Linked DNA regions of Canis lupus familiaris. The protein of the gene in region 6 interacts with the protein of the main gene of each other region in a pairwise test. Links are inferred from orthologs where the notes say so. Each region holds a gene or a part of one and is shown on either strand. Other genes may lie near its edges. The genes, in order: BOLL, ATXN1L, HNRNPF, HMGA1, QKI, RBFOX2 and RNF8.

What was found.
Region 1: the proteins of RBFOX2 (region 6) and BOLL interact in binary tests that used the Homo sapiens proteins (3 or more experiments, as listed by UniProt). The two-hybrid records come from large-scale screens. The link is inferred for Canis lupus familiaris from reciprocal best matches to the Homo sapiens genes RBFOX2 and BOLL.
Region 2: the proteins of RBFOX2 (region 6) and ATXN1L interact in binary tests that used the Homo sapiens proteins (3 or more experiments, as listed by UniProt). The link is inferred for Canis lupus familiaris from reciprocal best matches to the Homo sapiens genes RBFOX2 and ATXN1L.
Region 3: the proteins of RBFOX2 (region 6) and HNRNPF interact in binary tests that used the Homo sapiens proteins (3 or more experiments, as listed by UniProt). The link is inferred for Canis lupus familiaris from reciprocal best matches to the Homo sapiens genes RBFOX2 and HNRNPF.
Region 4: the proteins of RBFOX2 (region 6) and HMGA1 interact in a two-hybrid assay, tested with the Homo sapiens proteins (2 studies listed by BioGRID and IntAct, with this or other methods). The link is inferred for Canis lupus familiaris from reciprocal best matches to the Homo sapiens genes RBFOX2 and HMGA1.
Region 5: the proteins of RBFOX2 (region 6) and QKI interact in binary tests that used the Homo sapiens proteins (3 or more experiments, as listed by UniProt). The link is inferred for Canis lupus familiaris from reciprocal best matches to the Homo sapiens genes RBFOX2 and QKI.
Region 7: the proteins of RBFOX2 (region 6) and RNF8 interact in binary tests that used the Homo sapiens proteins (3 or more experiments, as listed by UniProt). The two-hybrid records come from large-scale screens. The link is inferred for Canis lupus familiaris from reciprocal best matches to the Homo sapiens genes RBFOX2 and RNF8.

Annotation. Positions count from the first base shown.
Region 1 is NC_049258.1:7,090,215-7,093,714, forward strand, and holds part of BOLL (protein boule-like), read right to left. Parts: intron 2,347-3,500; coding exon 2,203-2,346; intron 1-2,202. UniProt on the Homo sapiens protein: Probable RNA-binding protein, which may be required during spermatogenesis. May act by binding to the 3'-UTR of mRNAs and regulating their translation.
Region 2 is NC_049226.1:78,196,411-78,200,674, reverse strand, and holds the start of ATXN1L (ataxin-1-like), read right to left. Parts: upstream 2,801-4,264; 5' UTR 2,670-2,800; intron 768-2,669; 5' UTR 700-767; intron 1-699. UniProt on the Homo sapiens protein: Chromatin-binding factor that repress Notch signaling in the absence of Notch intracellular domain by acting as a CBF1 corepressor. Binds to the HEY promoter and might assist, along with NCOR2, RBPJ-mediated repression.
Region 3 is NC_049249.1:3,821,685-3,825,827, reverse strand, and holds the end of HNRNPF (heterogeneous nuclear ribonucleoprotein F), read right to left. Parts: intron 2,421-4,143; 5' UTR 2,370-2,420; coding exon 1,125-2,369; 3' UTR 501-1,124; downstream 1-500.
Region 4 is NC_049233.1:3,706,047-3,710,312, forward strand, and holds the start of HMGA1 (high mobility group protein HMG-I/HMG-Y), read left to right. Parts: upstream 1-1,466; 5' UTR 1,467-1,539; intron 1,540-1,786; 5' UTR 1,787-1,900; intron 1,901-4,266. UniProt on the Homo sapiens protein: HMG-I/Y bind preferentially to the minor groove of A+T rich regions in double-stranded DNA. It is suggested that these proteins could function in nucleosome phasing and in the 3'-end processing of mRNA transcripts.
Region 5 is NC_049222.1:52,355,125-52,359,155, reverse strand, and holds the start of QKI (protein quaking), read right to left. Parts: upstream 2,801-4,031; 5' UTR 2,786-2,800; coding exon 2,644-2,785; intron 1-2,643. UniProt on the Homo sapiens protein: RNA reader protein, which recognizes and binds specific RNAs, thereby regulating RNA metabolic processes, such as pre-mRNA splicing, circular RNA (circRNA) formation, mRNA export, mRNA stability and/or translation.
Region 6 is NC_049231.1:29,219,398-29,223,419, reverse strand, and holds the start of RBFOX2 (RNA binding protein fox-1 homolog 2), read right to left. Parts: upstream 2,801-4,022; 5' UTR 2,774-2,800; coding exon 2,585-2,773; intron 1-2,584. UniProt on the Homo sapiens protein: RNA-binding protein that regulates alternative splicing events by binding to 5'-UGCAUGU-3' elements. Prevents binding of U2AF2 to the 3'-splice site.
Region 7 is NC_049233.1:6,561,117-6,565,401, reverse strand, and holds the start of RNF8 (E3 ubiquitin-protein ligase RNF8), read right to left. Parts: upstream 2,801-4,285; 5' UTR 2,663-2,800; coding exon 2,552-2,662; intron 1,893-2,551; exon of another isoform or gene 1,119-1,892; intron 1-1,118. UniProt on the Homo sapiens protein: E3 ubiquitin-protein ligase that plays a key role in DNA damage signaling via 2 distinct roles: by mediating the 'Lys-63'-linked ubiquitination of histones H2A and H2AX and promoting the recruitment of DNA repair proteins at double-strand breaks (DSBs) sites, and by catalyzing 'Lys-48'-linked ubiquitination to remove target proteins from DNA damage sites.

The DNA.
Region 1 (3,500 bases), on a different chromosome or scaffold from region 6:
TTATGATATTCAAAATAAAAATCTGAGTCATTATTAAACTATAATGTACAAGATATCTACAAAGATGGCTTTAATTGAAATAGTCTCTCAATAGACTCATATCATCTTTTCCTAGAGTATTCACACTAAATTCATTGCTATTTCATTTTCTAGCACATGTATAATTACTTCATGGGGGACTTTAAATGTCTTTAGAAAAAAAATTTCTTTATATACTCAGAAAAAGACATGCCCAATGGCAGGAGGCTATGCCTCCTGAGTTCCACTGTTCCCTTACTACTTACATCATCGGCTATTAGTTGGTAATGTAAAGCTGCTAAACTGACTGATGACAAATACTAAGTTAATCTCCTGAGTTCCACTGTTCCCTTACTACTTACATACATCATCAGCTATTAGTTGGTAATGTAAAGCTGCTAAACTGACTGTTGACAAATACTAAGTTAATCTCAGAATAACTAAATACCTCTTATTTCAATAAACTTAAAATGGAATCAATGCCAGAATAAGAATTTCTATTAAATATTTAAAAACAAATTAATTCGGGACACCTGAGTGGCTCAGCGGTTGAGCGCCTGCCTTCGGCTCAGGGCGTGATCCTGGAGTCCCAGGATCAAGTCCTGCATCAGGTTCCCTGCATGGAGCCTGTTTTTCTCTCTGCCTATGTTTCTGCCTCTCTCTCTCTCTGTGCCTCTCATGAATAAATAAAATCTTAAAAAATAAAATAAAAACAAATTAATTCAAACTATTCTCTGATAGAAGAATCACTAGTTCAGTTTTGTAGCTCTACTTCTTAGTTGAAAAGTAAGGAGACAGAAAGGCAAGATGATTAAGTATTATAAGAAGGATGTACAGTAAGCTTCTAAAAAGTTTTAAAGTTTTAAAAAGTTTGACACAGCTTGTTACTACAGTAAACTATTTCCTTGTTGTCATTTGTTTATGGTTTTGGAAAACATCTAAGTATTAGGGAGGGAACCCTAGCAAATACCTGAAATCTGTCACTGCATTTTTAACAATGGCCTCCAAAGTTCATAATGTAGCTGATAGAATTCAGTAACCTAGAATAACCTAGCCATACAAATGTTTTGATTTAATGAGGATTTATTTTAAAAATATACTGTTTGTAATATAAATTCTGAACAAGAATACTAGAATATTTTCCATAGAAACAAAATCTTTTTTAAAATAAACATTTCATTAGAAATCATTTTTATTTTTAGTGAACCAATCACACACTTAAGAACCATTATTCTGACAAATACAGTGAGTGTAACATTTCTCTTGAACAGAAAAAAAGTAATTTCACCCTAATCTTGGAAGACTGATTACAGACAGGGAAATAGTAATAAATTTTGTACCCTAATGGCAAAAGGATATTTTTAAATTAAAAAAGATAACTATCCCTGTAATTTCCAGTACATAAAATGGAAGCTTGGAAATCCTATAGATCCACTTGGAAGTAAGGATATTCTACTTAAAATAGCCATGCAGGCCTTTCCTCTAAGTGTTTACTTCCACCTCTGAAATGGTGCTGCAAAACATCTAACAACAACAAACTAAGCCTCTCTGAAAGAATGAAATGGCTGATTACATAATTAAAATACATTAATGTTAAGATGCTTTATTCTGATAAGGTTACAGGCCTTTTTTTGGTGACCAAATTCTAAATTAGGTGGCAGAAAGCGATCTGTGAAAGATGGAAGTTAAGGAGATCACTCAGTAGGAACCTGAGTAGAGTAGAGTAGAGCTCAGTACCTCACTGAGTAGAGCTGGGATAAACAAACAGGATTTCATAGGACTAAGTTTTGTGTTTTTTTTAATATTGAGTCTTTTTTGAAAATTATAAACATGATTATTTGATCTATTGGAATACTATGTAATAAAGTATAATTAATGTGGTATGGTGAAGAATATGAAACTATGAGTCAGAATACTGAAGTTCTAGTCTTCACTGTCACTAATAAGCTAGGAGCCTACAGATATGTCAATGAGCCTCAATTTCCTTGTATGTGAAACTGGACAATTACATATGTTCTATTTAACCTACATTGTTATTGAAAAGATTTTTTATAGTAAGACAATGTGAAACGTACTAATAATTATGCAATTAGTAAATATTTTTGTAGTTGTACAAAGTATTTCTGAGAAATAAAATAACTTCTATTGCAAAAAATACACTACGTTGCATGCATAAATAGGTACCTTAAAGTCAATTCCTCCTACAAAGATGCGATTAGGGATCACTGTTCCATATCTTGGGGCACTTGTTGGGTTATTCAAAGGCACAGGTGACACAGGATTAGGGGATGGAGATAATGAATCTGTTTGCGTCTGATTTGATGTTTGCTGTAAAATAAAATTCTTTTAAATTTTTAGCATTGGGTATAAGTTTTGATGCAGGCTGAAAACATGTATCTCTCAAAAAGATGAGTCACTTAGGCAAAATGTGATATTTTAGACTTTAATTTTATTCTAATATGAAAATTATAGTTAGAACTAATAACCCTTTGGAGCAACAAAAATATGGGAAATATAGAATCTATTCCACTACAGAGAAAATCTTAAATATATTATTTAAATATACTTATGTTAATTGTTTATTAAATATATTATTTAAATAGTATAAATACTAAGGACATTAAACTCAAAAAAGAAGTTTGAGAAAGAGAAAAGCAGACTCAGACAGCTGGGAACTGGCTTGGTTCTGGTGTTGTTAGGAGTTGGCCTGGAACTCACAGTAAGATTGTGGTGTTCTCTTGTTAACAGACTCGAGGCAAAGTTACTCTGTGATTGTGATGGATCACAATAAAAACAAGATCACTCCATGGTCATGGCTGAACCCTGCATTGTCCAAACCACAAGCATGACTAAACACCCCTCTATCCTGGCTGATATATGTTACTACTCCTTCTTTATCAATCACAGGTTTGGCCTCAATCTATTTTTCTTACCTTCTAAATAAGAATTAACAGACCCAAACCTAGAATTACTCCCACTTTCTGACGATATGAATTTCAGAGTAAAGCCCTTCTTCCCTAAATGCTAAGAAGAGCTTAATACAAGCCTAAATCCCATAGTGAGTTCTTTTCTAACACCCTCTTATGGAGAGGCTCCAGGGTATATAGCTCTTCCTTGTGGCAACAATTCAATAGACTCAACTTTACTTAACTACAGGTATGCTCCTGGTAGTCTTTGGTCAAGGGCACTGACAAATTAATACATTCTGACATTCAAGTTCACCATTATCTAGCTCTAAAGTCAAAGTTTTAAATGCACTTGTCAATTTGAACTGACTTCGTAAAAAAAGAAATGTATATACCTGTAACTCATAGGTATAAATCTGTATACCAAAGAACTGAGCTCAGTACATATATGTTCACAATTCTAAGTTGGGGGCCTAATTTAGATTTTAATAAATATATATTAACATATAAGCCTTTGTACAATGGCAAGATGGTAGACTCATAACATATATCTGAAAAAAACAAGACTTGAGAATA
Region 2 (4,264 bases), on a different chromosome or scaffold from region 6:
GGGTTATGATCTCACCTTTCCCATCCCCCCATCCCAGGCCTAGTTAAACTCTCATCCTCCTTTGCCTCATATCACTACTACCTCAAAGACCGGGATGCCAGTGAAAAATAGCATCTTCTCTGCCCCAGGAAATACTACATTTCCCCCACGAGGAAAGTGATTGCACTTCTGTGTTCTATAATGTAGTTGTTTCTCCTCCTCCCTAAAGAGCAACAAAACTCTCTGGCCACACACAAAGACTCCCCCCCCCCCCCCCCCCCCCCCCCCCCCCCCCCCAGTTTAGAAAGATTGCTTTTCTTCTCGTTGACTATCTTCAATGTACTTTCTTCATCCATTCTCTTTCTTTTTTCCTGTGTGTTTTCTTTTGCCAATGGCTCCTTTTCCACTGCCCTAGGTCTACTCTAGGCAACACTTCCTAAATTCTGGTTCTATTCCTTCAAACATGTCTAGGTCTCTATGATCCATAAGAAAGTTCTCTCTCCCCTTTCTCTTATTGTTACCTTTCATACATGCTTTTATCCACTGTCATAAAATATTCTTTCAGTCTGTACATTTCAATGCATATGAACTTTGTCACCTATTTCTTCCAAACAAGGCTCCAGATCTTTGGATCTGGATATTACACTCTGTTCTGTTTTTCCATTGTTGAATCCCAGATGTATTTTTCTGCAACAAGGTATCCAAATTTCCCTTTTTTACCTGAGCTTCCAGTGGTGCCTCTGAGCAGCTGTAGTAAGAAGCAGTGTCCTCCCCGCTGCCTTGGGAGCCTAGAAGACAGAAACAGGAATAAAGTAAGCAGGAGCCTAGCCTCTCCTTTTCCCCAGGGTCATCAAGAAAGGTAATTCTAAAGCTACAAAAACATTAAAGTCCATAAGTCCCTGCCTCATCCTCTGCTCCAGAGGTAACAGCACATTTATGCAGAGTGTCTAGACATTTGAATAGAGGAAATAGCTTTAAATATATAGAAAGACATCCCTGAAAAAAATGTTCAATGTATGTCAAATTTCATTGTTTTCCTTAACATCACATTCTTCACTCTCTCCCTGTACTTTATTCCCCAAAGGTTAAATTGACTTCCAATCCCAATTTCCAGGTAAATGCACAACTAAAAATGGAAGATTCAACATTATTCCCATGTGAACAATGGCAAGCTGGAAAAATCAACTCCATGGATTTCACTATTATTCAGGGCTGATGAAAACACAGATGTGGAGGTTATTTAAATGAGAAAAGTGGCACTAGAGGAAAAAGAACAATTATTTATGTTTCTGGGGCAGAAAAAGAGGTCAAGGGGGAGTCATTCAAGGGGAAGCCTTATTAACAGATTTTCAGAGTAAAAAAAAAAAAAAACAAAAACGAATCTTGTATGTGTATGTAAAAATTTCTGAGTGACAACTTCGTACCAAGTGCTGAATCAGGTGTGACAGAAAATGAAAACACTGCCTGGGTCCTAATGTAGCTTATTAACAATGAGGAAACAAAACTCACGCTAAACTATCAATATCTGAATCTACACATGCCGGTAACATCAAGGACCAGAGAAAAGCGTTAATCTCGGACGCCAGATAAAGCAGTATTGACCAGCACTGAGAAACTATCCACTGCCCTATCCAAGTCCTACAGAATGGCAAGCCTTTAACCAGACCGAAGCAACATTTATCTCTTAAGATTGGCAAGGTGTATGTACAAGAAAAGGTGATGAGATAGGAAAACGAGGGGAAGGAAAAATCCTCAGTTTTGTAAACAAATTACACAGTGGGCACGACTCTTGCATCCCTTCTTCGGTAGCAGCCCCGGTTAACTGAGAGGCAATTAGCTTTCTCCCTCATTCGCAACAGAAATTGGGGTCACATCTCCAATCTCTGAATTACATTTGCTTCCTGCCAACTAAAACCTTAAGCAAAACCTGCCTCTGGGTTCTCCAAACACGACCTAATAAAATAAATAAAAGATTCGCTCAAAAGGTCTGAGCGAATGACAACAAAGAGCCAAGCCTGTGCAATCAGGTTCCAACAACGCCAAACAATTTCGGAATCTGAAACCTCTTCCTCAGGGGTGGGGGGCTCAAAGAGCACTTGTGGGTGGGGAGAGACGTAGCCTGGGACCCCACCGAGCTAACGGGGCCGGGGGTCTGTTCCGGAGAGCTGCCAATGCTGCCAGTCAGAGCCCACAAGCAAGAGACGGAACCCGAAATTCGGTGAGGGCGAGAGGTGCGCCCGCCAGAGAGTGGAGCTCGGGAGAGACTACGTACGGGTGATGGCTTCCCGTGATCCTGCAATCCTTGCTTCGACGAGGGAAGGGCCCCAAACTGGGAATTTAACGCTTAGGGGTGCGGGGGGGCGCGATCCCTGAAGCCGAGGAGCAGCGGCAAGGCCCCGCAGGGGATGCTTCCTTGTTTGGGGGCCCCTTCTCGCCCCGAAGCCTCGGACACCCCGGCCCGCGGGGACACGGCCGCGGGGGCGCCGGGGCCTGGGGCCGCCTTCCGGGCCGGGCCGGAGAAAAGCGCGCGGGGCTCCAGGCGCGGCCTCCTTCGCTCTCCGGGTCCGCGGTTCTCGGGCCCCGGTCCGGCGGGGCCATGGCTCCAGGGGGCCACTTCCTCCTAAGCTCCGAGCCAGGCCCGCTCGGCCTCAGAGAGGCCGCCCGGCAGCCCCCACTCCCGCGACACTCACCGGCCCATCTCACGGCGCTCCTTGGGCTCCTCCCGCTCGTCCCGGAGCCGCCGCCACCGCGGCCGCCGCCATCCCCGGCCCCGGAGCCGCCCCACACCCAGCGCCCCCCTAGCCGGGCGCCCGGAGATGGCGTCACGTGCGTCCCGCCCCCGGCGCGGGCAGATAGCGTCACCGCCCAGGCCAAGAGCGACGCCCAGGAACACGCAGGAAGGCAGCGAGGCGGCCCCTAGCCCCTTGCCCCTCGGCCCCAGCGCCCCCTCTGGTGGGAAAACGAACTCCTCCCAGGGGGGGAAACAGGGTCACGTGAGAAGGCGGGCCTCGCCCTCTCGCCCTGACCCCACCGTGACCCCCGCAGTCTCTCCACTCCAGTAAATTCTGGGGGTTCCCAAACAGGGCCCCGGGGCGTGGCCGACGGCGACCCCCCCTTCCTGGGCTTCCGAGGCCTGACGGGTGAAGCCTGCTGTTGGGAACCTCGGGGAGCCCCCCCGGCGACCCCTGTCCAGGGGAGTAAGAAGATGCCCCTGGAGACCCAGGGTGGAGATGAGGGAGCGCTTTGCGTTGACAAATGGCTTTGAGGGGGATGAGAATGGACCGGATCCAGGATCCAGGAGAAGGTGAAGCAAGTGATGGGAACTTGAGGGTTGAGAGAAAGGGGTTCAGTACAGTGGAAGCCGTTTGGTTAGTGGAGAGAGGGCTTGGCTAACTCGGTCAAGTCTTAGGTCACCACTCACTGCCAATGGTCTAGTTAACTCCATAATGGCATGGACATCGGATTAACAGCAAGTGGGAAAGCGAACCCCAGTCGAATTCGTGCTTTGGTTACACCGATGTAAAAGAGTTCTGCATCCAGACAAGAGAGAAAATTAAGTTTAACTGTTAGAGAGATTGAATCCGAGTGGGTTTTTCCCCTTTCAGTTTTTGCAGACTTTGTTCACTAAATAACAACTGATTTTTTTTTTGTTGTTTGATTTTGAAAATAATTAGCTGGGCTCTGGTCCCTAGCCCGTAGTTGTCTGACCTTAGGAAAATCGTTTTCCTACTCTAGACTTAGGTTTCCACGTATGCAAAATGAGGAGCTTAAATTAGATGAGACGGTGGGAGTAAGATGTAGATAAAAGAGCTCTCTCTAAACATTTTAAGTGAAAATATAATTAAGTGTGTACAGTGTGATATCATGTATTTAATGCAAAAATACATATGTAACACATATAAAGACATATTATGTACCTGTACCAGAAAAGGAATGGAAGGCTATGTAACAACTAGTTGACATTGGTCATCTCGGGGCAGCCCGGGTGGCCGCAGCGGTTTAGCGCTGCCGTCAGCCCAGGGTGTGATCCTGGAGACCCTGGATCGAGTCACACGTTCGGCTTCCTGCGTGGGGCCTGCTTCTCCCTCTGCCTGTGTCTCTGCTTCTCTCTCTGTCTCTCATGAATAAATAAATAAAATCTTAAAAAAAAAAAAAAAAGAAAGGAAGACTTTGCCCTTCCTTCTAAAAAGAAAAAAAATTGGTTATCTCTGGAGAAGAAAGCAGCATTGGGTGGTGACCAAAAAGATAACAAAAAGGACGTATTGTTTAGATTTCTTATGGGATA
Region 3 (4,143 bases), on a different chromosome or scaffold from region 6:
CAAGATTTATGTGTATTCAGTAATAACCTGTGATTTCTAACCCAGGATTATTAGAGCTAGCATGGAAAAAAAATGTTCAAATCAGTAACTTCATATAAAAAAAAAAAAAAACCACCCTGAAACAAAATGTGGTTGTGATTAAAAGACTGCCAAAGTATGTGGCACCCAAAATTAAGGGTCTTTAGCTATGAGAAATGAATGTGACTCCAGTATAAGAGAAGAGCGGGACATTACAGCTGAGCAGTCCAGTCTCAAAGGAGGCTAGGCCTGCGTGCTGCTTCTATTTTCATACTCCCGTGTTTCCAGTCACCATTTCTACCGCTCATGTTTAACATTTTTAAAAATCAAACTTTTAATTTAGCCTTGGTATAGGAATAAGGGAAATCTTAGATTCCATGTGCTAAATTAGTTTTGAAATTCACACTGAAATACAGCAGTATTAAAACAAATTCTCTTCAACCACCCATTTTGCTTTTTGGTGAGTATATAGTCGGTGCCAGTCATTGTGAAAAAATCTTTATTTTAAGAAAAAAATTTAGTTAACAAAAAAATTTAACAAGTTTCACTTAGCAAAATACACCCAAAAGGAAATCACAGTACAAAGAAAGTTTTAAGTCAAGGCCTCACCAATTCCTACAGTATTAGTAATGTGTCTCAATTTTCAAAACTAACTTATTTTTTAAAAGCTTAAACTTAACCTAAAAAGATTTTAAATGAAAATAAACTAGAATGAACAAACAGGAGAAATGTTCCTCTTTGAATCAGGGATCTAGCACCTTGAGTTTTCCAAAAAAGCACGTCTCCCCAATGTGTTCACGGTGATGTGGTGTAAAAGATCCATTTAATGTACTTAAAACTACTTTAACTCAGATAACATCACTCTGAAGTACACTACCCAAAATGTTAATTGAGAAAAGCTGAAAATAGTTTTAGTTTACTCAATATCACATGCTAGAAGAAAGTTTGCATGAGAAAACACTGAAGAGGTAATTTTTTAATCCAGATTTCACAAACTCATGGTGCAAAATGGGTCCCACAGCTTCCTCTAGAGTAATAATTGCTTTTCACTGCTTGTTGGCTGCCTGTGAAAATTTGATTGCAATAACTCAAATGCTCCTACAAAACTAGTCATATCCACCCATGCTGTTCTGGCCTCCATAGCCAGCCCCGTAACAGCCACTCACAGACTGGCTCTCGAGGCCACTGTAAGTCGACTGGGCTGACACTCCCATGCCTTGCATCATCTGGCTGCTATATGCCCCATTGCTGGCCCCAGTTGTGGAATTCAGGAAAAGTTCTATGTATCTGTGTTGCATGTTGGCCCGGTCTTTGGACATAGCTGCCACAGCTTCTTCGTGAGTGGCAAACTCAACATCAGCTTCACCCGTCACTCTTCCATCAGGGCCAATCTCAATATGGACTCTCACAGGGTTGAGTGGAGAGAAGAAGTTGTAAATGTCGTTCTCGGTAGCTTTGTACGGCAGCCCTCTCATGTGGACACAGTGTCCAGTGGTGCTCTGGACGGTGAACTCGCCATCTCCATATCTGTGGTCATACATGCCCGAGAGACAGTAGCTGAGGTCTCTCCCGAACAGATCAGTGGTGAAGCCGTAGCCATCGCTGAGGCCACTGTACTCCTCATAGCCCCCATAGCCTGCACTATAAGCACCAGACCTCATCCTCTCCAGGCCTGCTTGCTTGACAATGCCAATATACCTCCTGGCTGTGCCAGGGCGGTCATAGGGCCCCGGCCGCTGTACAGACATGAACTTCAGAGGAGGATCTGAGTATGACCTAACTTCTTCCTGACTGCTCTTAAACACTTCAATATATCTGTGCCCTATTCTCTCCTTGTGCTTCCCGAGGGCCTTCTCAGCTAACTCCTGGGAGGCAAACTGCACAAAGGCTTCCCCTGTAATCTTGCCCTCGGGGTCCACAGGCAGTGTGATCCCGTTTGGCACAATTTCCAACCCTGAGAAGAACTGAACGATTTCTTCCTTGGTGCATCCAAATGGGAGTCCTCGAAGCCGCACGAAGCCATCATTGGCGGTGTCGGCACTGTTTGGACCACTGTGCTTCAACACCCAATCCATCTCGGTTCTGTGGGACTTGAACACCTCAATGTACCGGTGTCCCATGCTTTCCCTGTCTTTTTTAAGGGCCATTTTTACATCATCTTCTGATTCAAGTTCAACAAAAGCCTCACCACTCTGCCTGCCTTCTCTAGTGTAGATGAAATGAACGCCTGCAGCCCCATCATGAATTGTGCAGTCAGAAAGGAAATTCTGCACATCCTCAACAGAGCAGGACCAGGGCAGGCCACGGAGCTTGACCACAAAGCCTTCACCTCCCTCGGGGCCCAGCATCATGGACACTTGAGAGGACAGACGTCAAACAAGCTTGGGTGCAGTTTTTTGTGGCTGAAAAGAAAGCAAAAACTTTACATAATTTTTCATTTATTATGTACAAGAATATGCAGTAAATCTTATTTTTCTGATTTTACAGATGAAAAAATAAAATGTTAAGAAATACACCCAATACATTTGAACTCAGATTCAATCCCAGGTCTCCCCTAAAATGTACATATTACAGACTGAAAAAGAATTAGGAATCTAAAAAAAAAAAAAAAAAATACAATAGTGATCTAGAAGCCTCTGTCAGTAAGCCACAGCCTATCAATTCTAATGGTCAGTTATTTTAAGTTCTAAAGGGAAGACAAAAGAATGAAATAAGCCAATATTTAGAAATAGAGAACTTCTCAGAACTGGAGGAAAGTGAGATTATGACACTCAAGTAAAAGGGTATTTTCTTGTTACTAGAGAAAAGACAGAGCAAATTTGTAATAATATAAGCAGGGGAATGGCAGATGGAGCAGCAGGCTCCACGCTGACCAGGAGACTGATATTGGTTATCAATCCCAGGGCTCTGGGATCACAACCTGAGCTCAAGGCAGATGTTTAACTGACTGAGCCACCCAGGTGTCCCTTGGCTCATAATTTTAATAAATTACAGTAATTTCAGTATTTGATGAAGTCACTATGCAGCACTTAATCATTTTTTTTAAAACTGCCAACGTGCAAAAGGATGATTTTGTAATGACTTTGGCCCCATCCCCCTATAACAGATTTCATATGCTCTTCCTCCTCTTTTGTACGTGTGAAGTAAAACAGCTCAGGAAGTTTAAGTTATCTATTTCCTGGCTGTACCAGGTAGCTCAGTGTCACATAGCCAGGCCAAATGGTTCACATTGTGGACCAGACAGTTCTTTGTTGTAGGGAATAGGCCTGTGCACTATAGGCTGGAAGGCAACATCCCTTGCCTCTGCCTACAAGCTGCCAGTAGCAATACCCTCCCCCCAGGTGTGACAACCCCACAGATTTCCAGATATTTCCAAATGTTCCCTGAGGGTAAAACCTACTCCCAGCTGAGAATGACTACTGTAGAATCAGGATCACCAACCTTAAAGTGGGCCCTCAATACTGCCTACAGTTCTACCACACACACACACACACACACACACACACACACACACACACTTGCCCAAAGCCCTGAGCTGTCTGTGGCAACCTCACCTTTTCTCATTCCCCCCATCTGCAGCTGATTCAAAGAACAGCGACTACGTGAAGGAACTGCCACATGCCACAAAGTCTAGGAATTTATAAACAAGCAGTTGCTTCTCTTGTTAGCTGATATCATTAGCAGGATCACAATCCTGCTCTGGTCCCAACTCCACTCACCCTAGAAAAAACTTTTAAGGCTCCACACCTAGCGTGAAGCCTAACGTGGGGCTTGAGCTCACAACCCTGCATGATCAAGACCTGAGCTGAGATCAAGAGTTGGACACTTAAATAACCAAGCTATCCAGGTGCCAAGAGAAACTTCTCTTCAGTCTTTTCACTGAAGACCACCTTCTTAGTAATTAAGAATGTCCATTCGGAACTAATGCCATTATATACCATTTTACTTGTTCCCACAGCAGAATTTAACCACTCCCCCTGGAAATCCTTTCTCCCTCTTAAAGAAGATGCAACCTTCTGGTTTTCCTATTAATTTTGATTGGTTCTCCTAGCTGTTTCCTTTGAGTCCTTCCTCCACATTCAACTGCTGGGAATCACTGAGCTTGGGTGAATTCTTTTCTAGGCA
Region 4 (4,266 bases), on a different chromosome or scaffold from region 6:
CGCGCCCTCCTGGCTGAACCCGCGCCCGGGGCCGCCGGCGCCTTCCCGCCCCGGCGCCCCCGCCCCCGCCCCCACCCGGCCGAGCACGTGCTGCCCCCGGCCCCGAGCGCCGGCCCGCCGCCCCGGGTGGGGGCTGGGCCCATCCCGCGCTGCTCCCCACCCCCACCGGAAACATTCCTGAAACATTCCTGAAAGTAGGAGGCCCGGCCCCTCCGGCTCCCCACCCCGCCTCCACTGCGGGCGCAGGGTTTTCCTGGCGGCCCCCTCCTTCGCCCGCTCGCCCCCTGAGGAGGGGGCTGGGCTGGGGCCTCGGCCGGCCGGGGAGGAAGGAGGGGAGCAAAGAAAAACATGAGTCACAGCCGTGTGTCACTGGGCCGCATTGCATTTCCCTGCATCACGGGAGGTGTGGAGGGCAGCCGCGGGGACCAGGGGCGGGAGGTGCGCCCGAGGAGGCCCGGACCCGGCCTGCAGGGCGCGCCGCTCTCGACAGCGCCCTTTCTTCTCCCACCGCCCTCCCCGCCATCTTTCGACTTTGGCTTCCTCCTCGTCGGTGCAACAAGTCTCTGTGGCGCCGGGCGGGCCAGGCGTGGCGGGGACGGCTCGCGTCGACCCAGTCCCTGCCCTCAAAGTGCTTCCAGGCGACCGTGGGCTCACGCTTTCTCGTTCTCCTTCGCAGCGGAGAAGGCTAGGGCACCCAGTGGGTAGGCGTATCTCCAAGCACCACGCGAGCCCCCTGGAGGGACGAGTCCACCCTCGGGTTTACCTGCAAGCGAGCCAATCGTTTGCTTCGCTTGGAGGCTGCACCTGGATGACGGCTCACTCGCGGCCATTAATAAGCGAGAACTCGGGATTTCACAAGTTTCACGTTTGGATTTCACAAGACTTGTATTTCACCAGTCAGCCACACGCAGGTTGGCACTGAAATGCACATGCTGACACCTGTCCGCCCAGGGGAATCTGCGAGCCGCGAATCTGGGCGCTGGGGCGGCGGGTAGGCCGCGGAATTCTCCCGGGCGCGTTCCTCCCCGCCCCCGCCCGCCCGCGCGGATCCCGCGGGCACTAACGCCCGCCCACACCCAGCGCGCCCCGCGGGCGCCGGGCCCACGCGCCCGGAAGGTCCCTGGAGGTGATCCTCCCAGGACCGCCCCCCCGCCCCGTTCCAGGCTGTGAGGACGCCCTCCCCTCTCCCCCCGCGGAAAGCTCCTTGGCGTTCCCACTCTATGCACCCTCCCCGGGCTCCCGGCCCGGGACAGTAGAGGGGATCGTGGCCTCGGGTTCCCAGCCCAGGCCTCCCGCGCACCCCTCCCGGGCGTCAGCACCCACCCGCGCGGCGGCGGCGGCTGGCGGGCGGCCGCCCTTTTAAATCCCCGGGCTCATTTGCATGGCCCCGCCCCCCACAGTGACACGGCTGGCGCGGGCGGGCCCGTCCCCCCTGCCCCTGGGTCGCTCTTTTTAAGCTCCCCTGAGCCGGGGCTGCGCTCCTCTAATTGGGACTCCGAGCCCGGGCTATTTCTGGCGCTGGCGCGGCTCCAAGAAGGCGTGAGTTCGCGGCCCCTCCGGTGGCTTCTTTTTTTTTTTATGTATCTATCATTTAATTAAATTATTTATTTATTGAGGCCGCGCACGGGCCGTGCCTAGCTTCCTGCCCCTCGCCATCCTTCGGGGGAGGGCGAATATTTTTGTCCCCCCGCCTGAATGTGACAGATAAATACCCCGCGGGGGCCTGGGCGGCGAGCACGCGGCGGCGGCGGTCTCTGAGCGCCTCTGCTCTCTCTCCCGGTTTCAGATCCGCATTTGCTACCAGCGGCGGCGGCGGCGGAGCCAGGCCGGTCCTCAGCGCCCAGCACCGTCGCTCCCGGCAGCCCGGAGCGCGCACCGCAGGCCGGCGGCCGAGCTCGCGGTGAGTCGTCCCCGGGGCCCGCGGCGGCGGCGGCGGCGGCGGAGGAGGGGGGCGCCCGCGCCCCCGCCCGCACGCCGCCCCTCCTGCGAGCCGCCCGGGGCTGCAGCGCGCGCCTCCGGCTTTATTCCCAGGCCGGGGCTGCGCGAGCCGGCGGCGGGGGAGGGCCGCGCGGCGCGGGGGCGGGCGGCGGGGCCCCGCGGCGCGGGGAGGGCGCCCGCACCCCTTCCCCCGCGCCGCGGGTGCCCTGCGGGGGGCGGGGACCCGGGAAAGGCGCGCGGTGGGGGAGGGGGCGCGCGGCTGCGGCGAGCGCGAGTTGTGCACCCGGCGGAGCCCGGTGCACCTCGCGCGGCCGCCGCTCCCGCTGGAGCCCGAGCCCGAGCCCGAGCCGGGGCCCGGGCTGTGGGGGGTGGGGAGAGGAGCGGGCTGCGGCGAGGCGGGCGAGTGGGGGGCCGGGCGACCCCCGCAGCCCGGGGAAGTTCTAGAAGTGAGGGGGATGGGCGGGAGCCCCGCAATTCAGCTCTGCTCCCGCTCGGCCTTCCTCCTGGTGCCCCCCTACGCAGAGGAGGCCGAACCGCGCGGCCCTGGGTTTGGGGCTTCACCCCGACCCCACCTCTGGCCCGGCCCGCGCCTCTTCAGCCCCCGGGGCCGGGCCTGCCCTCCGCCCCCACAAACAGGTTTCTCTGCTTTGCAGGGCTCTGTTGGAACTAGTCCCTCTGACTCCCCGTTTCAATTTTTTTTTTTTTTTCTGGAGCTTTATTTTGCGGGGAGGGCGCGGAGGGAGGTGGCTTTCTTCCTCTACCCCGCGCCCGCGCGCGCCAGGTTTCCTGCCCCAAGGCGGGCTTGGGTGCCCCCTCTGGCAGGAAGTGGGGCCGGGTGCACCCGCGTGGCGGTGCATGCGGTCGGGGTGCACCAGTTTCCCGCGCCTGCGAGAGCAGCCCGTGCCCCTCCCCCCGCGCGCTCGGGCCCCTAGTTTCGTTGGCTGACCTGCAACGGCCCGGCCCAGACACTTGCAGAGTCACCCTGGGGCCGGGTCTGGAGCAGGGGGCGACAGAGACTTTAATCAGTCTCCAGGAGGGTAAGGAAAGAAAAGTCCCGGGCTAGAGGGGTCGCCGGTAACAACCTCTCTTTCCTCACCAACTTGCTGTGTGACCTTGGGCAACTCCTCAGGCCTCTCTGGGCTACTTTTTTTCCGGAAAACAAGGGAGCCCCATGATGATTTCCTAGGGTTGTGCTCGTAGACTCGTGTGCATTTGTGGAAGACCCATTGCATGCACGGTGTGTGGAGGGGCAAGCTTGAGGCCCAGAAAGGCTCATTACATACAGAAGGATTCAGGTTGGGCCCTAAACATGGCTTCGCCAGCCAGGCTTCTGATATTCAGAAACAGGTGGAAGAAGAGACAAGCCCTACCGAGAGAGGGCTTCAGGCCTTCATTCAGTTCCTGGAGGCCTGGAAGGGGAGGGAGTTGGAGAGTGGATTAAAGGGGTCCCCAGGAGTATGAGGTGGTGGGGGGATCTCCAGATGATGCAGGAACTTTCCCGGAGACCCACCAGGATTCTCAGGCATGCTGGGCCCAGGCTTTCTGGGATTAGGGGCTGGCTTGGCCCAACTGGAACCCCCTCCGTGAGGGGGCCTTCTGCAGACCTCATGTGAGGTCAGTGCTCATTTAGACTGATTAATTTTGATGTTTAGCTTGAAGGGGAACCTGTGGTGTAATATAAGATTCTAATCACTGCCTGTAATTACAGAGCAGGCCAAGCCACTAATGACGGAGCAGGATAAATCACCAACCACCTTGTTTAAAAGGGTCTTCAAGTCTGAAATATTATAAAATAGAATAATTACCAAAGTCTCACCGTCTGGAGAATCGTGATGCTTGAGGATGGGGGCCTCAAGCCCTCCAAAAATCACAAGTTTGCAAAAAAACTTTCTTTTCTCTTGGCTAAGTTAAAATTGGAAATGTGTCTGAAAATCTGAAATAGGTGAAAGAAAAGTCATTTTCGAATATTCTAGTTCTCATTTTGATTGAAGTGAGGACTTTATGTTGACGCATTTAACTATGATCTTGACTATGATGATCATTTAACTATGATCTGGTTTAATCTTTGACATCAGTTTGGAAGAGGGAGTTGGGGTAGATGTCTTCCCATTACCCCATTTTACAGATGGAGGTCTTTTGGAAGTGTAGCTGTGTGGGCCCGCCCTTTCCCAAGGGCAACCAGGGATCTGTTACCAGGGAGGTACAGAGTCCTAGGTCTCCCGGGTCTCCTGTCTCTGCAACTGGAAAGACAAGAGGGGAAATGGGATGGGGGAGGGGAGGACCCTCACTGTGTTTTAAGCCTCTGGAAGAGCCACCCTAATCCGGGGT
Region 5 (4,031 bases), on a different chromosome or scaffold from region 6:
CAGCTTATTCCACACTAAGGAATAGCCCCTCTTCCTGCATGTTTGTACTGGTCTGATAAAAAAACAATCAAACTTCCTAGTCATTATGCTGTCCATTTTAAACATCCCAGCTACGACACAAGCAATCTTTACTTACCCTGGGGAGGAAAGGCTAAAATTCTAGATAGACCAAGATAAGAGATGGAGTAAACCACATTAAAAGAGAAAAAAAAAAAAATTACTTAGAATGTATCATCCTCAGCTAGTGGTCTCCCAAGTTTTAAAAGGCAAATAGTTACTATTTCCAACCACAGAGAAATGAACAAACCTTTGTTAGAGATAAAGACCTAAGTGGAATTCTAGATTTGGAAGATTACAAATTATTGAAGCCAACGTTAGAAACTTTTTAACAAGGAACAACTCCAAATGATCACTTAAAGATTTTAGATCAACATAAAAGCACAGGTGAGAAGTCTTTCAGAACTAATCAGAGAAATTCAAATTATGTTTTTAAATAAGATACACATAAAGTGAAATACCTTCAATTTTTTTCATAAACTCCTATGTCATTTGATTGAACTCAGCATTGTAATTAAAAGACTAATGCAACTTTAATTAATTCTAAATATTGTGAGGACACATTTCATTTTAATGTCAATGAAAGATTCCTTCTAAACTGTACTAAATAAAGAAAATTTAACAAATACTATTAAAATTTTAAAATTTCCAAAATATACCAAGGCAGAAAAGACATATCATTTTTGAAATGCAATAAAATTGTTCCCATAATTTTACGTAATGTGTTCTGAGTTTATAACTATATATTATAAATACGGTAAGTGTATTATGAACACGAAATGACACGCAAAATGATCTACTGTGATTCAGATTTAAAATATAATATAGATCAAATTATTGAGTATATTACACATTTTGCTCCAAACATTTCTCATGTTTAAAAAAAAATAACTGGCGCCCCTTAGCGCTCACATTTGGAAATACTCAATTTAATAGTTCCAGCAATTTTTTTTTTTTTTTCGACATTCCAGAAAGTTTTCTGCCTCCACAATCTTTCAAATGCCAACACAAATAGAAAAAGCAGAACCCCTTAAAGGGACAGCTCAAGTTTTTTCTGGAGCAATATAAAATTAACAGATTTGCTATTTCAACAAGGGAAAAAAGCCCATTCCGATGAGGATTACCGCTGTTCGGTCTAACATACGTAAGCAATAGCTAGGACGCTGTAAGACCTAACAGTCTCGAACTTTGAAAGTTGTTTCTAGGACTTTCTTGACAACAAATGATCCCGGGATTCTTCTTTAACCATCTTTAATCACGAAGACATTTCCGGTCTTTTGTTCTTTAGTGACATTCCAACTCTCTAAGCTTCAGATTCCTTTTCTCTAGTTCTATAAAGATCTCGAAATTCCTATGAAAAATCTAAAATCCACGGTTCAATTCTATAAAACAGTTTATCAGTCTTCCAGGGATGCTTCTGAGACAGGAAAAGAAAAAAAAGAAAAAAGAAAAAAGAAAACCTCCTGAGTACTCGATTTTCAAATTAGACTTTGTTGGTCATTTTGTCTTCTCCAGGCTTCCACAGAAAAGCAGAGCTGCTAGAATTCGGCAGTCCAGGGCACTGCTCTAAGCAAGAACTTGTTAAAGGAATCCCAGAGTCGGCCAACATTAATCTTGTCGTTCTTCGCAACCCTCCGCTCTCCGCCAACAAAGCTTTTCTGCAAACTTTGCCCCTTCTTCTCCCCGTCCTTCGGAACGTCCATCCTACAGAGCGAGGCAGCGGCGTCCTGGGTTCGCTCTCCGCCGAAGTTCTCTCCGAGTCGGGACGACGTTTAGACTCGTCCTCGCGGTATTTCGTTCTCACCCCCCCCCCCCACCCCGCGCCCAAAGTGAAGTTAAACTCCCCAACAGTTCTCGCTTCCCCAAACAAAAGGACGAAAAGTGCTTTCGGCTGTCATCTTGCCCCGGCCTCCGGCTCGGTCCGCACTACTTTGGGGCTCCTCGGGCACATTCCCTCCAGTGGCCCGGCCCCACGCTGCTCCCCTCGAGTACTCGCAAGCCGCACCAACTCCCCAGCAGCCGCGGGCCCCAGGACCCTCCACTGTGGGAACGCGCGCGGCCTCCGGGAGAGCCCCCCGGGGAGCGCCCCGGGGCCGGTGTCCTTCAGGCGCCCGCGGGCCGGGCGCGGCCGGCTCCTCCGGGGCTCCTCCGGGGCTCCTCCGGGGCTCCTCCCGGCCAGGCCCGCCACGCTCCGGGCCGTCGCGGTGCTCGCAGGCGCGGCGGGAAGCCAGGGGCGCGAGGGGGCTCGCCCCGCAGCCTCCCCGGGGCGCCGAGGCCGGCGGCGCGAGGCCCGGGGTCGCGGGCCTGGGGGGGGGGGGAGAGGGGAGGGGGAGCGTCCCGCCGGCGGGTCCCGCCCGAGCCCGCGGCCCCGGCCCGCCCGCCGCCGCCCGCCGCCGCCCGCCGCGCCCCGCGAGCCCGGCCTCGGCGCCGCCTCCATGCGCCCCGCCCGGGCCTCTGGGTCCCCGGGCGCACGGTCCCCGCCAGCCGCGACCTTCCCGCCCTCCCAACACGCCGGCGGGCGTCGGGTCCCGGGGAGATGGGCCGCCCCGGGGCGCGGGGCCGCGAGCGGCTGCCGAGGCGACTCACCTTCGTCCAGCAGCCGCTCGAGGTGGTTGAAGATCCCGCAGAAGTTGGGCAGGCTGCTCATGAGCTTCTTGTCGTTCATCAGCTGCATCAGGTAATCTGGGGTGGGCTTCGGCTTCTCCTTCGTTTCCATTTCCCCGACCATATTCCAGGCTCCGCAGCTCACTCCGCCCGCCGCCGCCGCCGCCGCCGCCGCCGCCGCCGCCGAGGAGGGAGGGAGGGAGGGGCGGGGAGCCCCGGCCGCCGGCCGCTCGGGACTCGGCGTCCCGCTCCGCTCCGCTCCCGCGCCGGGCGCCGGGGCGGCCGGACCGCGCGCTCGCCGCGCTCTCCCCGCCCCCGCAGGCACTTTCCGCCCGCGGCCCGACGCGCTCCCGGCCCGCCGCCGCCGCCGCCGCCGCCGCCGCCGCCGCCGCTCCTCGGCCGCCGGCTCGGCGCGTCCCTCACGAGGCCGGCGGGCGGGAGGCGGGTCTCCGCGGGCCGAGTGCGGGCGCGGGCCGCTCGGCGCCGGACGAGGAGGAGCCGGGCCGCCGCCGCCGCCGCCGCCGCCGCCGCCGCTCGCTCGGCTGGTCGCGCCCGCTCAGCCGCCGCCGCCGCTTCTGCCGCGGGCTCGGGGTCTCTCTGGGCTGGTCCCCGCCGCGGCCGCCTCTGCCGCTGCCGCCGCGCTCTGACTCCGCTCCTCCTCTTCCTCCTCCTCCTCGCCTCCTCCTCCTCCTCCTCACTCACTTGGCGGCGGAGTTCGCCTCAGTTCAGGCGGCGCTGCCAGCGGCGGCGGCGGCGGCGCGGGGGGAGGGGCGGCGGCGCGGGGAGGGCCGGGGGCGGGCGGCGGGCGGGGCCGCGCAGGGCGGCCGTTAGCGGGGCCCGGCCGGCGCGCTCCTCCTCCCGCCGCCGACCCCGGCCCGGGCGCCGCCGCCGCCGCCTCCCGCCTCCGTCCGGCGGGTGGTCGGCCCGAGAGGGGCCCGGGGCTGGGGTCGCCGGCGCGGCGCGGCGCGGCGCGGCGGGCGGAGGGAGGGGCGGCGGCGGGGCGGACGGGCGGACGGGCGGCGGGGCGCGGCGGGGGCGGCGGGTGGCGGTGCTTTGGACTGGGGGCGGGGTGAGGGCCGCGCCGCTCCGCGCTCCCCGCTCCCCGCTCCCCGCTCCCCGCCGCCGGGCCGGCTCGTCTGGCGGGCGCGGCCGGGCTGTGGCGGTGGGTGAGGGCTCGCCAGCGGGACGCTCGCCGCCGCACGCCTCATTCTCTCCTCCGTTACTATAGTTTTTTGTTGTTGTTTAAAGAAAAAGAAAGAAAAACTGTCGTCCGTTCTCACACCCTCCCCCCCCCCCAAAGAAAAGAATTTTTTTTAACGTCCTGTTGCTTCACGGGGGACTTTCGGGGTGGGCGTCACGTGCCCCGACAC
Region 6 (4,022 bases):
GGAGCCTGCTTCTCTCTCTGCCTGTGTCTCTGCCTCTCTCTCTCTCTCTCTCTCTCTCTGTGACTGTCATAAATAAATAAAAAAATTTTTAAAAATAAATAAATAAATAATAATAATTATTATTATTATCACAATGATATAGCAAAGTGCTACAAGTGTGGGTCACTGAGTGTTAGATTCTATCTTTTCAGGAACATTACTTCTCCTTTACTCAGATTATACCTCAAATTTCAGCCTTCCCATAAAGCCTCCCTTGACCATTTCAGCAGGAATGACCTTCCCCTTCATCTAGCACAAATCCTCTGCATACTTTGGCTCTAAATTATGCAATGACTTGTAACATGCATCCACTCTAGGGTATCTCTGCTCCTGTTCCTCTGAAACTTACACACATACACACAAAACCACACATACACCCACACACGTGCACTCTTTTTTTTTTTGTCACCCAGTTTTGTCTTCTCCACCCAGACTAGAAACACCAAGTACACCTTCAGGTCAAGGAATCTGATGCCCTTTTTTTTTTTTTAAGAGATAATTTAGAAATCATCATGTACAAGCCTTTTCTTTTACAACTAAGGACACAGAGCCCCCCCCCCCAAAAAAAAGCAGGGATTTTCCCGAAGTGTACAGCTAGTTGAAGGCAGAGGGCTAGATTAATGATGATCTGAACACCTGTGTGACATGGTGTGTCAGAACTACAGCAATGATAATGCATGACCTGAAAAATAAAGATCCACAAATGCACAGAGTGAAAAAAAGATTCTCTGTGTGATAGTTCTAAGTTGCCCATTTGTACCCAAAGAGTCTAATCCAACTCCTTCCTCTGCATACTCCAAAGTCCCTATGTGATGCTCCATTTCCAGATACTACTATCCTTAGCCAGTTTGAAGCCAACCAGCAAATAATGGGCCCCACGGGGAAAGGAGAGGAAAGGGAGGGGGGAGCCTTAGAGTTAACAGTGATTGACAGAAACAATGAATGAATACAGACCCACACGAATGTAGGCACACACCAAGCGGAGGCGGTGCTCACCAGCACCCACATCCAGTCACCCCTTCTGATGAGCTCACGTTAATCCACCTCACCTGAAGTCTCCCCACGTTCCTTGATATTTTTTCCATGGCCCTGAGCTTTTACTTCTCACAATCCCTCTGCCTGACACAGTTCTGATGGAGAACAAAAGCAGGCAAACAAAACAAAAGAATTCAAAAACAAACAGCAAGAGGGTCACTTTATCCAAATCAACACAAGTAACTGAGCGGCCTCTGCAGAGGAGACCCGTAAGCACACAGCAAACATGCCAGGCTCAAATACAGCTCGGTCTCTAACACAGGAAGTCAGGCAGAGCCTTGAAAAGCAGGGAGCAGAGCACAGGAAGTCTTTTAGCACTGCAGGGATTTCCAAGAGTGGTGTAATGGAGAGAGCACAGGAATAGGAATTAGAAGAGGAGGCTTCTAGTTCTAGTTTTGCTACAAGCTAACTGGGTGGCCTTAGGCAAGTCACTAGTCTTCTCTGGACCTCTGACTCCCCATCTACAAAATGTGGTGGCTAAAACATTTTGAGGCTTGGACACTCCCCCCCCCCCAAAAAAAAAAAAAAAAACACACAAAGAGGAAAACTATTGACTTCCCCCGCACACACCAAAAAGTGCACGTAAACTGTTCTGCCTAAGAGTCTTCCGAGCCCATCCAGGTCAAGAACTTCTGGAAAAGATGATGTCTCTGGTCCCTTCCATCTCTAACATTCTATGATTCTAAGAGAATTAGGCAGATGTGTAAACAACGGGTAGGTGAGCTCCACCATTTCACAGCGAGTGTATTCAGAACAGAGACCAGATCCTAAAAGGTCCGAAGGCTTCAGCTCTTGCTGGAACTACGGAGTCAACTGACACCACTACGTTTCCCGCTCCCTCCGCGATCAGCCAGCTTGTCCTTGAGTCCACAACTCCGAACCCGGTCTCCCAACGGCCCTAGGAGTCTTGTCCGGCGCCCCGGGACGTTGGGCAGCGGCCGGGGGTCCTCGCCCGCGCAGGAAGCGACTGGCGTGGCGAGGCGGGGCGAGGCGGGGCGGGGCGAGGCGGGGCGAGGCGGGCGCGCTCGGCTCGGGGCTGCGGACCCCGGCGGCACGGTGCCCACCCACCGCCCGGCTGCCCGCGCCTCTCGCCGCCCACGAGCTGAGCCGCATCCCCGGGCCCTCGAGGAGCCTGGTCGCCTCCGCGGCCCTGCCCCGGCCCCGGCCCCGGCCCCGGCCCCGGCCCCGGCCCGCGTGCGCCGAGCGCTGCCCGAGAGCTACTTGTCGGGAGGCTGCCCGGCCCTCGACGCCCCGCGGCGGCCCCCTGGGCAACTGAGCCAGGACCCCCGGCTCCCACTGCAGCCCGAGGAGCCCGGGAAGGGGCCGAGACATGGAACCCGCCTCGATCCCCGCCAGAACCCGCTCGGCCGCCGGGCCCCGCACCCCCCGCACCCCCGCCCCGCCCCGCCCCGCCGCCGCAGGCCCCGCCGGCCGCCTCCCACCTCCACGCGGCCCCCCGCGCCCCGCCGTCCCGGCCCCGCCGTCCCGGGGCGCCGTCCCGCGCGGTCACCTGCATCCCGCCGCCGCCGCCGTCGGCCGCCGCCTCCTCGGTGCGCGGCCGCTTGCTCAGGCCGGGCTCGGCTCCGTCTCCTCCCCCTCCGGGCACCGGCAGCTCCAGCTCCGACTCCCGCTTCATCCCCCGGGCAGCGGCGCCGGGCCCGAGCTGCGGCGGCTGCTGCGGCTGGGCGCCTTCCGCCATCCGCCCGCGCCCCCCTCGCCTCCGGGAGCCGGGCGACCCGCGACAGGCCACCTCCCCCTGGGCCTCGGCCCCGACTGTCGCGACAGGCGGGCGCGCGCCTCCCCGCCCCCGCGTGCGTGCGTGTGCGTGCGCGCGGGCCCGGCGCCCCTCGGCGGCTGGCGGCGCGGGGCTCGGCGGCTCGGGGCTCGGGGCTCGGCGCTCGGCGCTCGGCGCTCGGCGGCTCGCGGCTCGGCGCTCGCGGCTCCGCGCTCGGGGCTCCGCGCTCGCACACGCGCCCCCGGCCCGGCCCGGCCCGGCCCGGCCCGGCCCCCCGCGCCCCGCCTCTCGCACTCACGGAGCTCGCCCGCCGGCCCGCGCCCGCTCCTTCACACCGCCCCTCGCCACCCGCCGGGCCGGGACGAGCTGACTGGCCGGGAGCCGCCGACCCGCCACTGTGGCAGCCCCGGGAAGGCGGGCGCAGAGAAAGGAGGAGGGAGGGACCGAGCGCTGGGACTGCAGCCCGCGCGGGAGGCCGTGGCGGGGCGGGGGCGCCGGCGGCAGCGGCGGCGGCGGCGGCGGCGGCGGGGGCGGGGCCAGCGCCCCTCGGCAATCTCCGCCGCCTCCGCTCCGGGCGTCCGAGGGAGGCCGGGAGGAGATCGGGGGAGCTCGGGAATCTCCGGCCCGGGCGACGGCCAGTCCTGGAGGCGCCGTGCCGCGGGCGTGCCGGCCCGCGCGGGGGGGGCGGGGCCTGCGCCGGGGGCGGGGCCACGGCCCGGGGGGCGGGGCTTGAGGGGCCGAGCGCCCGGGAGGGCGGGCGGTGCGGAGCGGTGACCTGAGTCCGCCCAGGTAGCCGCCTTGGTTTCGGGCCGGGAAGGAGGCGCTGCGTGGAGGAGGAGGGCTCGCTGAAGAAAGGGATCTCGACTCGGAAGGTCCAGGAATGAAGCCACCGCTCCAGGGCTCTCTGCGGTTCTGAAACACTTTAAGAATTACTGTTATCGCTTTCTGGTCATCGTAATAACACCCGGTGCCCGTAAGAGCTTTACAGCGACGCCGGGGTGGCTCAGCGGGTGAGCGCCTGCCTTCGGCGCAGGGCGTGACCCCGGATCCCAAGATCGAGTCCTGCCTCGGGCTCTCCGTAGCAAGCCCGCTTCTCCCGCTGCCTGTGTCTCTGCCTCTCTCTTTCTCTCTCCCTCTCTGTGTGTCTCTCATGAATAAATAAATAAAAGTCTTTAAAGAGAGAGAGCTTTACAGTTCGCACCAGGTGTCCACA
Region 7 (4,285 bases), on a different chromosome or scaffold from region 6:
TCTCTGTCTCTTCATGAATAAATAAATAAATAAATATTTTTAAAAAAGGGGGGGATCCCCGGGTGGCTCAGCGGTTTGGTGCCTGCCTTTGGCCCAGGGTACGGTCCTGAAGTCCTGGGATCGAGTCCTGCGTCGGGCTCCCGGCATGAAGCCTGCTTCTCCCTCTGCCTGTGTCTCTGCCCCCCTCTCTCTCTCTCTCTCTGTCTGTCACGAATAAATAAATAAAACCTTAAAAAAAAAAAAAAAGATTCTCTCTCTGCGCAGGGGTGCATGTGTGCACGCTCTCTCTCATACATAAATAAACAAATAAATAAAATCTTTTTAAAAAAATGAATGTGTGCCTAATGTAGACTTTTCGGCACTGATACCTGAAGAGAAAAAGAGATTGGGGCAGAGGGGTCCTCTTGGTGTTCTTCAAATCACAGCAAAGTAACCCTTTAAAACCTCCTGATCAGGGTGGCCCCGGTGGCTCAGTGGTTTAGCCTTGCCTTTGGCTCAGGATGTGATCCTGGAGACCCCGGATCGAGTCCCACATCGGGCTCCCTGCATGGAGCCTGCTTCTCCCTCTGCCTGTGTCTCTGCCTCTCTCTCTCTCATGAATAAATAAATAAAGTCTTTTTAAAAAATAAATAAAACCTCCTGATCAAAAAAAATAGGTAAATAAAATAAAAATAAAACCTCCTGATCTAGCAAGTTAAGGCTGGACCTGAATCTCCTGACTGGAGGAACCACTGTTCTAGGATAGTACTAAATAATCTAGATCTTGGCATTGGATTGTACAGCCTGCATAGCTGTTCTCAGATACTTCACTGTATAAAAGTGTCTTTCTCCATTCAAGCAATAAATTCTTTGAGAGCAAAGTTGCTATTATTTATCCCTCTCATAACACAGGAAAAAAACCATAAATAATAAATATTTGGGAGACTGAATTGAGACTATGTAGCTTGCAGAAACAATCTAGCTAAATGTACACAATGATCAAGACTTATCTTTCCTACAAATTATTTCCAACACCCAATGGTTCCCAGTCACCACCACAAGTGGTCCCTGATCCAGCTCTCCTTTCCAAGCTGATTGCACTCTAACTCTCTCTGCCTCCTCTTCTAGCACCCTCTCTAAACCACCACCCCAACTGCCCTCAACTGGAGCCGTGCTTCACCTTCTCTCGTTTCTTTTTTGCATTCATGACTGCATTAGAAAACACTACAGGGGACGGAGTGGCCAATGGCCTGCAGAGCAACATGCCCAAGTTTTATCGTGACTACTGCGACACATACCTCACCCATGACTCTCCATCTGTGAGAAAGACACACTGCAGTGGTAGGAAACACAAAGAGAATGTGAAAGACTACTATCAGAAATGGATGAAGAGCAGGCTCAGAGCCTCATCGACAAAACAACCCAGCATTTCAACAAGGAAAAGTACCTCCTACTCCATTCTCTGCTCCTCCTCCTGCAGGGGCAATGATCCCACCTCTCCCCAGTCTCCTGGGACCTCCTCGCCCTGGTATGATGCCAGCCTCCCATATGAGGGGCCCTCCCATGATGCCAATGATGGGCCCTCCTCCTCCTGGGATGATGCCAGTGGGACCTGCTCCTGGAATGAGGCCACCTATGGGAGGCCACATGCCAATGATGCCTGGGCCCCCAATGATGAGACCTCCTGCCCGTCCCATGATGGTGCCCACTCCGCCAGGAATGACGCGACCAGACAGATAAGGAGAGACAGGAACCTCTTTATATTCATTTTATATTACTTGTTCTACTTCACCAGGATATCCTGGTGCTGTGACTCTGGGTGTTTTCTAACAGCAGGATAAGGAAGACTTGCTTCCCCTTCCTATCAAAGAATAGTTTTTGCAGGGGAGTAGTGGGACACCCCCCCCCCCAAAAAAAAGGGCAATTTTCATTTGTATTGTGAAATGTGAAAATAAAATTATCAACTGTTTTAGTTAAAAAAAAAAAAAAAGGCTCACAGGATATAATGTGGATCCTCCTAGAGCTTCGATTTCCCCCAAGGGTTGGAAAGGAAGACAGTTTTACATTACAGTGCGCTCATCTGAAGGGACATGACCCAAACTCAGTGTTTTTCAAGCTAAACTCGAGAAAGTTCATGCTTTCCCGCTGCCCCCACCCACCAACCCGGACACCCGGCTGTTGGTCACTCGCGGTGGAGGCGCACTGGGCCCCTCAGGGCTCGGCGCGACCCAACCCCGGGCCCCCCAGGCCCCTCCCAAGCCAGCCGGTCCGCTCAGCGCCCACGCCCGCGGCTCGCCCAGCCCCTCCCTCCAGCGCCTCCCCGCAACCCGGCCTCCCGCCCAAGGTCGCCCCGCAGGCGCAGGCCGCTCTCAAAGGGGCCATCTTTCCTCCCGAGCGGTCCCCACGGCGACCCCAAACACCTCGCACCTCGACCCCCGACCCCCGACCCTCCTTCACTTGTCTCCGCTCCGGCCCGCCCCCACCTCCCCTGCTCCATTCATCCCTCCCGCCCGGACGCCCCGGCGCCGCTGCCTCCAACCCGGTCCCCCGCCCCAGGGCCCCTCCCCCTCACCTCGTTTCCGTCCTCCAGCAGCAGCCACTCGGCGTTCATCCTGGCCCGCCGCAAGCACCACCTCCGGCCACCGGCGCGGTCTCCCGTGACCAACGAGCCGGGCTCCTCCATAGCCCCGTGTGCCCCAGGTCGCGGTCAGCACAGAGCGAGACCCCCGCCCGGGTTCCCGCCGCCTCTCAGCCTCGTCGCCGGCGCCATAACTAAACAACAGACAGAAGCAATCGCTACGCGCTCGCGATCGATGTGAACTCTCGCTCGGGCTGCGCGCCCCGCCCCCTCGGCCGCCAACCGGCGTCACTGCGCCTGCGCCGGAGCGAAGCCGCGTAGAGGGGGCCGCAGGTGTGCTGCGATTCCGCTCCAGGTGGGACGGGGTCGCCCCGCAAGCCGCCCCTAGGTGGAGCTGCTTCTCACCTTACCCACGTCCCTTTTCATTTTTGATTTTGCTTTATGGTGAGTTCCACGTTACCTAAAACTATAACCAACTTTTAAACGACTTTAAACTTTTGACAATTTTATTTATTCATTCATTCATTCATTCATTTTTAAGATTTTATTTATCTATTCATGAGAAACACACACAGAGAGAGGCAAGGACACAGGCAGAGGGAGAAGCAGGCTCCATGCAGGGAGCCCGACGTAGGCCTCCATCCCGGATCCTGGAATCACGCCCTGAGCCAAAGGCAGATGCTCAACCACTGAGCCACCCAGATGTCCAAACTTGTGATAATTTTAAAATAAGTCTGATGACACCTGGCTGGCTCAGTCAGTAGGGTATGAGACTCTTGATCTCGGGCTGTGAGTTCGAGCCCCACCTTGGGTGTAGAGCTTACTTAAAAAGAGCACAAAATGTTTTGAATCTGTTCCTAAATAGCATCTGTTTTGCATGACCTCTTTTTACTACTGAAGTTTTCTTTTTTTTTTTTTAATTTTTTTTCTTATTTATTTATGATAGTCATAGAGAGAGAGAGAGGCAGAGACATAGGCAGAGGGAGAAGCAGGCTCCATGCACCGGGAGCCCGATGTGGGATTCGATCCCGGGTCTCCAGGATCGCGCCCTGGGCCAAAGGCAGGCGCCAAACCGCTGCGCCACCCAGGGATCCCCTCTTTTTACTACTGAAGTTTTCAAAACTTAACAGTAGAATCTATGGAGGTGGAAATCAGTTGCCTGGGGCTAGGCGCGGGGGCCAGGACTAAAGGAAAAGGGACATGAGAGAATTTGGGAAGGTGATAGAAATGTTCCAAAACTGGATTGTGGTGATGATTGCACAATTGTAGACGTTTACTGAAAAGTCACTGAAGCATTACATACACTTTCATTGGACAAATTTTATGATAGATGTAAATTATCCTCAATAAAGCTATTAATAGCACCACCACCACCACCTGAACTTCTTTTCTTTGATCCTCCACTATAGTGTGGTAGCTGCTCCCTGTAGTGTGTACCTCTGTGATAACACCTCCTCTTGTCTTTTCCATTTCCCGATACTTGGTTAACAATTTTCCTATATTCTGTCAAGGGAAAACACATATACTAAATGAATCATACAAAGCACAACAGTAAAGGGCTAACATTTATTGAGAACTAAGGGCCAAGTACTAGGCCAAGCACCCTACATACTTTATCTTATATGCTCCTCACAAACACTATGATGATGGTGGTTACAATTATAATTCTTATTTTAAGTTTGATGAGAAAAGAGGCACAGAGAGGTTTAGCAATCTTCTCGAAGTAAC